Ovis aries: one gene and its partner. The protein of the gene in region 1 purifies or fractionates together with the protein of each later gene. This does not show direct contact. Links are inferred from orthologs where the notes say so. Each region holds a gene or a part of one and is shown on either strand. Other genes may lie near its edges.

Region 1 (4,283 bases):
GCCAGGCCTCAATTTTAAAAAAACACTCCCCCAAACCTTTATAGATAGTTTATCAACGCAGACTCTGGGCATACTAGAGTTATGTTTAATTGTTTCATTGTTTAACGTGCTAACTCCCCGAACGTTAACTGATTAATCTGTCTTCTAATTAATGTTTGAATGATTCTCCTCAAGTCTAGACTATTAAGGGCACTTCTATTTAAAAATAGTCTGTCGTCTGCTTGTACTGTCAGGTGCCATAGGTATATCTGAGGTCGCCGTTTTGAGTGACCCGCGATGGCTTCGAAATATACATAAAAATAACAACAGAAAACAACAGATCCGCCGCTCCCTCCACCCCCCCGCCCCCCGCTTAATTAGTGGTGAAAGATTTTGTCGCGTTTGTCTGGGCTTGGGGCTAGCTCTCAGCCCCCGATTGTGGAGACTGGTAATCATCCAGGTGTGCTCAGAAAGCTCCGGGCCAGGGAACTGGCGGCCAGGTCTCTTCCGAGGTCCCCCAAGTTGCCTCCTACTTTGGGTGACTGCATGTTTATTCACTTGCAATAAATGATTGTAAATGAATGTACCCAAGTGCAGGCCGACCCCATGGGTGGCGGGATTTTCGCAGCTCCACCGTGTGGCCCCGACAGCAGGGCGGCGCTGGCCTCGGCATCGCCGGGGTACCGAGCCCGCGCCGGCCGGGGTCCGAGGCTGCGGCTCTTGGCCTGCCCTGCGGCTGGAGCCTGGGGGCGGGCCCCGCGTGGATCCGCCGGCGCCCCCACCCGCGCGCGCCGAGGCACCTCCCAGAGCCAACCTCTCTGCCACTACGCCGGCCGCGCGTCCCCACCCTCCACGGCCCCAGCCGCCCGCTTCCTCCGCCGCGCCGGCCCCCGCTCCTCCTCCGCCGGCCTGGTCCGCCCCCTCCCCGGCCCGGGCCGGCCCCCCTCCCTCTTCCCGGCGGCGCTAGCAGGCTCGCTCTTCCCTCTTCCCACATCGCCCTCAGCCGCACTCCCGTCTGGAGAGGAATCGAGCGCCGAGCGCATCGATAGCTCTGCCCTCTGCGGCCGCCCGGCCCCGAACTCATCGGTGCGCTCGGAGCTCGATTTTCCTAGGCGGCGGCCGCGGCGGCGGAGGCACAGCGGCGGCGGCGGTGGCGGCGGCGGCTTCGGTGGCGGTGGCGGTTCGGCCAGTACTCCCGGCCCCCGCCATTTCGGACTGGGAGCGAGCGCGGCGCAGGCACTGAAGGCAGCGGCGGGGGCCAGAGGCTCGGCGGCTCCCAGGTGCGGGAGAGAGGTACAGAGCGGACCACCCCTCGCGGCTCCTGCCGGGGTCCCGACCCTCCTCGCCGGCGCCGGGCGGGGCCGGCGGCGAGTGAATGAATTAGGGGTCCCTGGAGGGGCGGGAAGGGGGCGCGGGTGCGGGGCCTGGGCGGGCGGGCCGCCGGGCGGACGGGGCCGGTTGGGGGGGCGGTCTGCAGGGGGAGACGCGGCGACGCGGGGAATGAGGAATGGGCGGTGCGGGGCTGAGGAGGGTGAGGCTGGAGGCGGCCGCCGCTGGGGCTGCTTCCTGGACGGGGAACCCCTTCCTTCCTCCTCCCGAGAGCCGCGGCTGGAGGCGGCCGGGGAGAAACTCGCGGGCCGGGCGGGCCGCCCCTCTGGGCGGTCGGGTGCGGTGGAGGTTACTCCCGCGGCGCTCCAGCCTCCCCTCCCCCTCGCCGTCCTTCCCTCACCCTCCTCTCCGCTCCCGCACCTCTTCTTCCCTTCCTAGTACTGGGCTGCCTCGGTTGCTGCCTTCTCTGCTGCATCTCTCATCTCTGGGACGAAGGTATAAACTTCTCCCCCAAGCGCAGACTGGACGGCTTGTGGTCCTTTTTCAGTGTGTAGGGCGGATAGAAGAGTTAAGAGGTGAGGTCGCCTTTTGGAAGCGCAGGGGAAAGTGCTTAGAGACCACTGATGGAGGTTATTGTGTTTGGAAAAAATGCATCTGCAGCCGAGTTCCTGACGGCTCCCCTCCCCCCCGTATGGGCTGTGACATTGCTGTGGCCACAAAGGAGGTGGTGGAGGTAGAGATGGTGGTGAAAGAACAGGTGGCCAACACCCTGCAACGTAAAGCCTGGACTTCGTGTAAAGGAAAAAGTTAATCCCAGAAGGTCTGCTTTGCTTTGTCAAGTTAAAACACACACAGCAAACCCGCACGGCAGAAGCAGGGCTCTTTCCCTGCTAGTTGAGTGTGAACAGCGGTAGTTAAAATTGCACGTGAAGTTTAATTTGCCTGTTTTCCTTTCCCCCATGCCTTCTGTATTACCCTTATGCGTACAAATTGGACCCCCAGCCCAGGAGTTATTACAGTACTCCTAAACGGTTCCCAGGCCTTTTTTTTTTTTTTTTTTCCAAAAGCGACCTACAAGAGAAGTTAATTGTAGCAATCTGCCAGCCAAGTGCCTGAAATACTCTGAGGCATGTGCATTGGTGCAGGTGAAGTCCTAAACTGGCCTTCTTAAATCTTGATATCCACCAAAACGAGTGGTTAAGAACAAAAACGCATTTTCTAGTTTTTACTTACTATACATGTTACATTTGTAATGAAAGAAAAAATTGTTCAAAAGAAATTACAAAGGGAAAAAATTCTGTTCATAGTCATCATCTCAGAATCAACCTTATGAGTGATGTCATTCTTAGGTGACTAAGGTCCAAAATGCTGACTCGAATGTGTAGTGGACTAGAGACGTCAAAAATGGTTGATAGCAGTACTGTTTACCTTAGACTGTATCCGTCCACAGGCATTCCTGGTTTTAAGAGACAGTAGATGAAGTGATAATTCATTTTTTTTAATGGTCAAAAAAATGAACATTTTTTGCCTGAATGAAATGCTCAGTTCTGGTCCCAGTTCCACCCCTTACTAGCTTATGTAGCTTTGGACACGGAGAACTCCTTTGGCCTGTGATTTTCCATGGCAACCCATTTCTCTCTAGTGGATTAAAGAAACTTGATTTTTGAAATCCAAGTGAAAGATTTTTTTCAGAAATAACCACTGCATAAAAAAGTAGACCAGAAAGTGTGTGGTGTTGAGAATTCACATGTGTATCTGCAAGCTAAGCACTAATCCAGTATTTGTCCACAGTCTCCCCTAGACTGGCTCACTTACTGGCCATAAGGACTCTTCAAAATTACTGAAGATCCCAATGTGGAGTGTGTCAGTATTGCCACAACAGAAATTAGAATGGAGAATTAAACTATTAATTCATTTTAAAAAGAAATAATTAGCCCTTTACTTGGTAACAGAAATAGAATATTTAATGAAAAGTAACTGTTTTCCAAAACAAATGCAACAGTTAGCGAGAAGAGTGGCATTGTTTCACACTTTCACTAATCTCTCTAATTGTATGGCTTCGTAGAAGATAGCTGGATCCTCATAGCTGCTTCTATAGTCAATGTATTGTGATCACAGGTCTGGAAAATTCTACTGTATATACTTGTGAAAGAATAAGAGTGGGAAGGGTACATCACCTCATACCATTATCATCAAACCAGGTTTTACCTCTTGGACCCTCTCCAAAAGTCTTGGGAACCCTGGTGGGTTCCTATACCACATTTTAAGAACTACTCTTCTAGGCTATCCAGATTTTATTGGAGGGGTGGGGTGGCAGGGAACTAGAGGATATGTTTTGGTGTGATTATCCTCACCTATCACATTTGCTAATGCCAATATTAGGAATGAAAAGAGGGAGCAAAACAGGACATAATGCATGTTGGCGGTGGCCCTAGACAAGCCTGGGTGGCACAGAGCAGGCCCATGAGGAACTGTGATACAGCAGTTGCTGGGCCTGTCTGCTCTTTGGGAATGGGTTCAGGAAGTAGAGCCAGAGCAAGGATGTGGTGGGGTGGTGGGGTGCGTACTGGGAAGATTCTTGGTCTTCAGTAAATGGGATGCTGCATGTGTATGATGTTGTATAGTATATCTGCACTTTCATTAATCTGGAACTACTTACCGTGTAGTACATTCTTGAACATTGACTACCAGTTCATGACTTAAATTTGTAGTAATGTAGTTATTGAGGGAAAGGAGGTTAAAGTAGATACATTCATTTCAAAGAGTTTGAAACTAACTAAAAAAATATTGTCTGTGTTGGTGCTGTTAAACCTCACCTGTTGTTGATATTTATCGCTACTGTTGGGAGTTGATATATGACAAGCAGAGAGTAAAAGTCATGTGGGTTACTGTGATATAACTAACATCTTTTAGAAATTCTCTCATTAAAAGCATGCTTTTCTTTAAATATTATTTAATTCTATTTTCTGTGCAAA
Region 2 (4,449 bases), on another chromosome or scaffold:
AGTGCGCCAGGAAAAAGGAACATACAGTGATCAAAGAGGCTGAGACTCAAAAACCAAGGCACAGGGACAAGGGGGAGAAGAAAACTGTCCCATGGTTTCATTATCTTGACTTTCACATAGACCCTTACCTGGTCCTGCCGCTCCTCTGCTTCAAGGTGTCCATTCATCTGCTAGTCCTCCGCTGTGTTACCACGTCAGCAAGACGCTGGGCCTGGTTCGGAGGCCATGGGTTGGTGGTATGGGCAAGGAGTCAGGGCTCATGGTGCAGGTTTGGTCTGTGGCTCTGTGAAGAAGTAAGTAGGAGCCTGAAGGGCAAAGTAAAGGAGGCCAAGCTATTATAGGAATACTGCAGGCCCTAGAGGCAGGGCTTCCACAAGGAAGAAGTTTCATCACTGTCCCAACCAGTCCATCTGGTCCCATCCAGTAAAGTCAGTAACAAGAATAGATACTAATTTTTAGCAAGCACTTACTATGAACCAAACATTGTCCTGAGCTTTTAAACTAATTTTTAAACTAAATGCTCCAAAACACTCTATGTGCCAGGCCTACTATCCATCCCCCTTTTCCAGATAAAAAAGTAAGGCACCAAGAAGTTACACGACTTGCCCAAGGTCACGCCATTAGTAAGGATTAACAACAAAGCCACGAACTGAATTAGATTACAAACGATATCACCATCTTTCTATGTCGCTGCTCCTCTCTGGATCTCCACCTTCCCCCTTTCTAGGTCTTCTCACTCTCCCGGGTCACCAATTCATCACCCCCGCTTTCTGTTCACTTCCCTTCTCGGTCTCCATTCCTCCTCCTCTTGGAACCTAAGGCTCCCCTCCCCTCTTTCAGGAGGGTTTTTTTTTTTTTTTTACCCATCCCCTCTCTACCCCCATCCTCAAAGCCCGGGGGGCCTCAGCTTGCCTCCTCTACTCTCCAGTACCGTGCACATCCCTCAAACTGAAACGCGCTGGACCACCTGAATCTTTCCCGCTGGGAAAAGCAGCCTCCCGATGGCAGGGACAAGCAGGGTTCAGGGAAGGGCCATCTGAGGCCAGAGGGAGGAGGTGAACCTAAAAACTGGTAATACAGGATGCCACAATCGAAGTGCAGCAAGATGATCTCGGGTTACATCTCAAGTAAGACTTCGCGAGCTGCAACCTCACCTGAGAGGCGCAGCAAGCAATAAGACAGAGGAGAACCTCCTGAGGAAACGCCCAAAGCTTGAGGTCAGAGGTTTTCCGAGGTCCAGACTAGCCAGACAGCCCCGCCTCCTCACCTCTAACACTCGGCTCTCTGGGTCCTCCGGGAGCCACAGAGAGGCCGTCGGCGTCGGGCCAGAGCGTCACCGCGCGACGCCTCTTACTAGCTCCGCGCGACATCTCTCTCGCTCCGAGAGCCTTTTCTTCCGGAAGACTATCAAGAACAGCGTGAATAGAGCTAGAGAGGCCCCCGACGTGCGGGTCCTTCCGTCCTTGGCGCAGCCCTTGTTCCCCTTTAGATGCTCCTCCACTCAATTCCGGAAACGCCCATCTAGCTGGCCTTCTGATTCACCATAGAGAGGCGTGAGTCATAGTAGAGCGCCGCGTCGCCCAAGTGATGTCAGGTAGGCGCCACACGCTGAAGGCTTTCCCCGCCCATCCCGGGTCTGCTCTCTCTTTCCGGACCTGGCTAAGGAGGAGGCGCCATCATGGTGAGCTAGCTTTGCGGCGTCCTGGCCTCGACCATCCGCCGCCATCCACTGCGGCCCCGGGCTGGGGACGTTCCAAAGGGAGGCAGGGGTTCACGGGTGTTCGAAGGAGGCGACTCCCGCGGTGGGGAGCTGTTTTGGAAGCCCGAAGGCCAGGGCTGGGCTTCTTCAGTCTCCCACCCTTCCTGTACTTCTCTATTATATAGGTTCCATCGTAGGTGACCAGATTGAGGGGCAAGAAGGTTAAGTAGTATGACCAGGGCTACAGTGCCAGTAAATGGCGGAGCCAGGATTCGGATCCAGGAACTGGTTCCACAGCCACTCTTGCCTGTGCTGCCCCTGTATTCTGTCACTCCCCAGCCTGGAAAGTTGGGTGCTGGTAGGGGGAGTCGTCAAGCGGCTGGTTCCCGTGTTTGGGGCCAGGCGGGCTTCCGTTCGAGATTCAATTCCCTGTCCTCTGCATTCCCTGTGACTGGAAAGCATCTATCCTTTGGAGACCCAGTAATTTTGCTTCAAAGATGTGAGTTGAGTAAGAAGTGCTCACAGAAGGTGCTCACCAAGGGTCTTTGCATACCTAAATGCTGGATGAATAAGAGCTATTAACAAGTAGTTCTTTACGATTCATGACATAGTCATAGGCTTCCTTCAGCATTCTTAGCACTAGAGTGGGAAAGCACCTGGTCAGGTTTTTGGAGTCAAGAAGATAATGCTTGAAAAGTGGTTTTAAGATTGTTCTGTACAGAGTACTTGAGAAAAAGGCTGGTTGCTTTTATGATAACTTAAAGTCAGTCCTTGGTTTGTTTCTGATAACGCTCCACGTATGGGAATAAGCGTTGAGAGGTTAAATGGTACTTATATTTTTGAAAAACATAGCTGCTAAAGAACTAAAAATTTGAGTTAATAGGGGTGCCATTAAGGTCATTGTTCTGAGCTGACAGCTTACTGTGTAAAATTAGCACTCTTTCCCTTTTTAAAAAAATAAAATAAAAATGACTTGAGACCCAGAGAGTTTTAAGTGATTTTCCCAGATTGTTCTCAGTGTGGGTCTGGGGTTGGTTGTCTCCAGAGACTGCGCCTTTAGCTGTTTCTTGCACGTAAGGAATAATTGAAAATGTTTATGTGGTATCTGCCAAATGAGAGTTGGGTTCACGGTCTTCCCTTCCTTCACCCCTTCAGGGAGTTGACATCCGCCACAACAAGGACCGAAAGGTTCGACGCAAGGAGCCCAAGAGCCAGGACATTTACCTGAGGCTGTTGGTCAAGGTGAGGTTTGGGCCAGAGACCCCTCATCAAGGCCACCCCAGAAACAGAACTTCATAGCCTCCGTGTGGTTTCGCTCACAGGCTCCCTGCAGGGGCCTGGAGAGCAGGCACGAGTCTGCTGCTTTCCCAGAGCTGCTGGAGATTCCAGCTTTTTCAGTCTCTGGGCCTGTTCACAGCCGGGGGGGTGGTGTGGGGGATTTTCTGGGTCCCCGGCCGGGCAGGACTCGGCCAGCTCTCTCTAGGGCTCTATGGGATGGGGGAAAGCCCTCAGTCATCTGTTTGCCCCTTTGTTAGAAAGCTGGGAGGAAGGGGCTGGGCTCGGCTGCCCTGGGTTCTCACTCTTCATTTTCCTTCCGCTCCAGCTGTACAGGTTCCTGGCCAGACGAACCAACTCCACCTTCAATCAGGTTGTCCTCAAGAGATTGTTCATGAGCCGCACCAACCGGCCACCGCTCTCCCTTTCCCGGATGGTGAGGGGCTGATGCTGGGGCTTAGCCAACCTGGGGGAGCAACTGGGTCATGTCTGGAGCCCGATTTCGAGAAGAAGGGTGGGCTTGGAGCTCTCTGGTAGCAGCCTGGCTGTTAGCTGGCTTAACTTCATCCAGCGGTGGGTGCAGAACTCTGACCCTCCGATGGAAGCAGTATAGTGGGAGCGTTGGACTGGCTTAGCCTTATTTTCTTTCTTGCCGTGTCTGTGGGGTTGCAGTTTACAGTGTCTTTTATGAAATCTTCCTGAGGCTTGAAGTCTTAGAGCAAGTCCTCTGTATCAAAAGCTTTCTGTAGGAGAGATCTGTTTGCACATTTTTTGGAGGTTTCCCCAGGCTGGACCTGAGAGTAGGCTTGTTGTGGTAGTTAGAGAGGTGTGGCATGGGTGGGTTTAGCCCAAATGAGGCACAACTGTTGGCCCTTGGGACGCCTGGATCAGTGGGGTTGGATGTAAGCGCCAGAAAGGACTTGTTTAATGTGTATATCACGGCCCCCTCCCCTGTGCCCATCCCAGATCCGGAAGATGAAGCTTCCTGGCCGGGAGGGCAAGACAGCTGTGGTCGTGGGGACTGTAACCGACGATGTTCGTGTCCAGGAGGTTCCCAAACTGAAGGTGAGTGTGGCTCAGGAGCACGGTGTGTGTGTCACGCGGAGGCCCTTGTCCTGCTCTGGTGCCGTCAGGCTCGTCTTGCCTCTGGGTGAGGCAGGCATCAGGCCTGAATTGCAAGGGGATGGTGTGGACGGCGGGCGTCCCTGGGCAAGCCCCTTCTGGGGCCCTGCTGATGGTGCTCGCTCTGCCACCTCGTTATCTCTGGACAGTGCTCCACAGTATCTCTGCTTCAGCTTTCTCAACCTGTGTACTGGCTTAGGTTTGTGGTGTCGGGGGTTTCTAGATGTAAACTGGTAAGAATGGCTGCATTCTTAGGGCTTAGGCGTTTGCCTCCAGTAGTTGGTCATCAGGCAGAATAAGCAGCCGGAACTCCTGCTGGATCTGGGCAAGGGACCAGAGGTCCCAGCAGCTCC

Evidence for each region.
Region 2: the proteins of KRAS (region 1) and RPL18 purify together in Homo sapiens (affinity purification with mass spectrometry; 3 studies listed by BioGRID and IntAct, with this or other methods). This does not show direct contact. The link is inferred for Ovis aries from reciprocal best matches to the Homo sapiens genes KRAS and RPL18.

Annotation. Positions count from the first base shown.
Region 1 is NC_056056.1:190,372,653-190,376,935, forward strand, and holds the start of KRAS (GTPase KRas), read left to right. Parts: upstream 1-1,186; 5' UTR 1,187-1,259; exon of another isoform or gene 1,260-1,272; intron 1,273-4,283. UniProt on the Homo sapiens protein: Ras proteins bind GDP/GTP and possess intrinsic GTPase activity. Plays an important role in the regulation of cell proliferation.
Region 2 is NC_056067.1:55,014,814-55,019,262, reverse strand, and holds the start of RPL18 (large ribosomal subunit protein eL18), read left to right. Parts: upstream 1-1,645; 5' UTR 1,646-1,678; coding exon 1,679-1,681; intron 1,682-2,854; coding exon 2,855-2,941; intron 2,942-3,302; coding exon 3,303-3,410; intron 3,411-3,940; coding exon 3,941-4,039; intron 4,040-4,449. Other genes in the region: SPHK2 (sphingosine kinase 2), read right to left, coding at 129-167.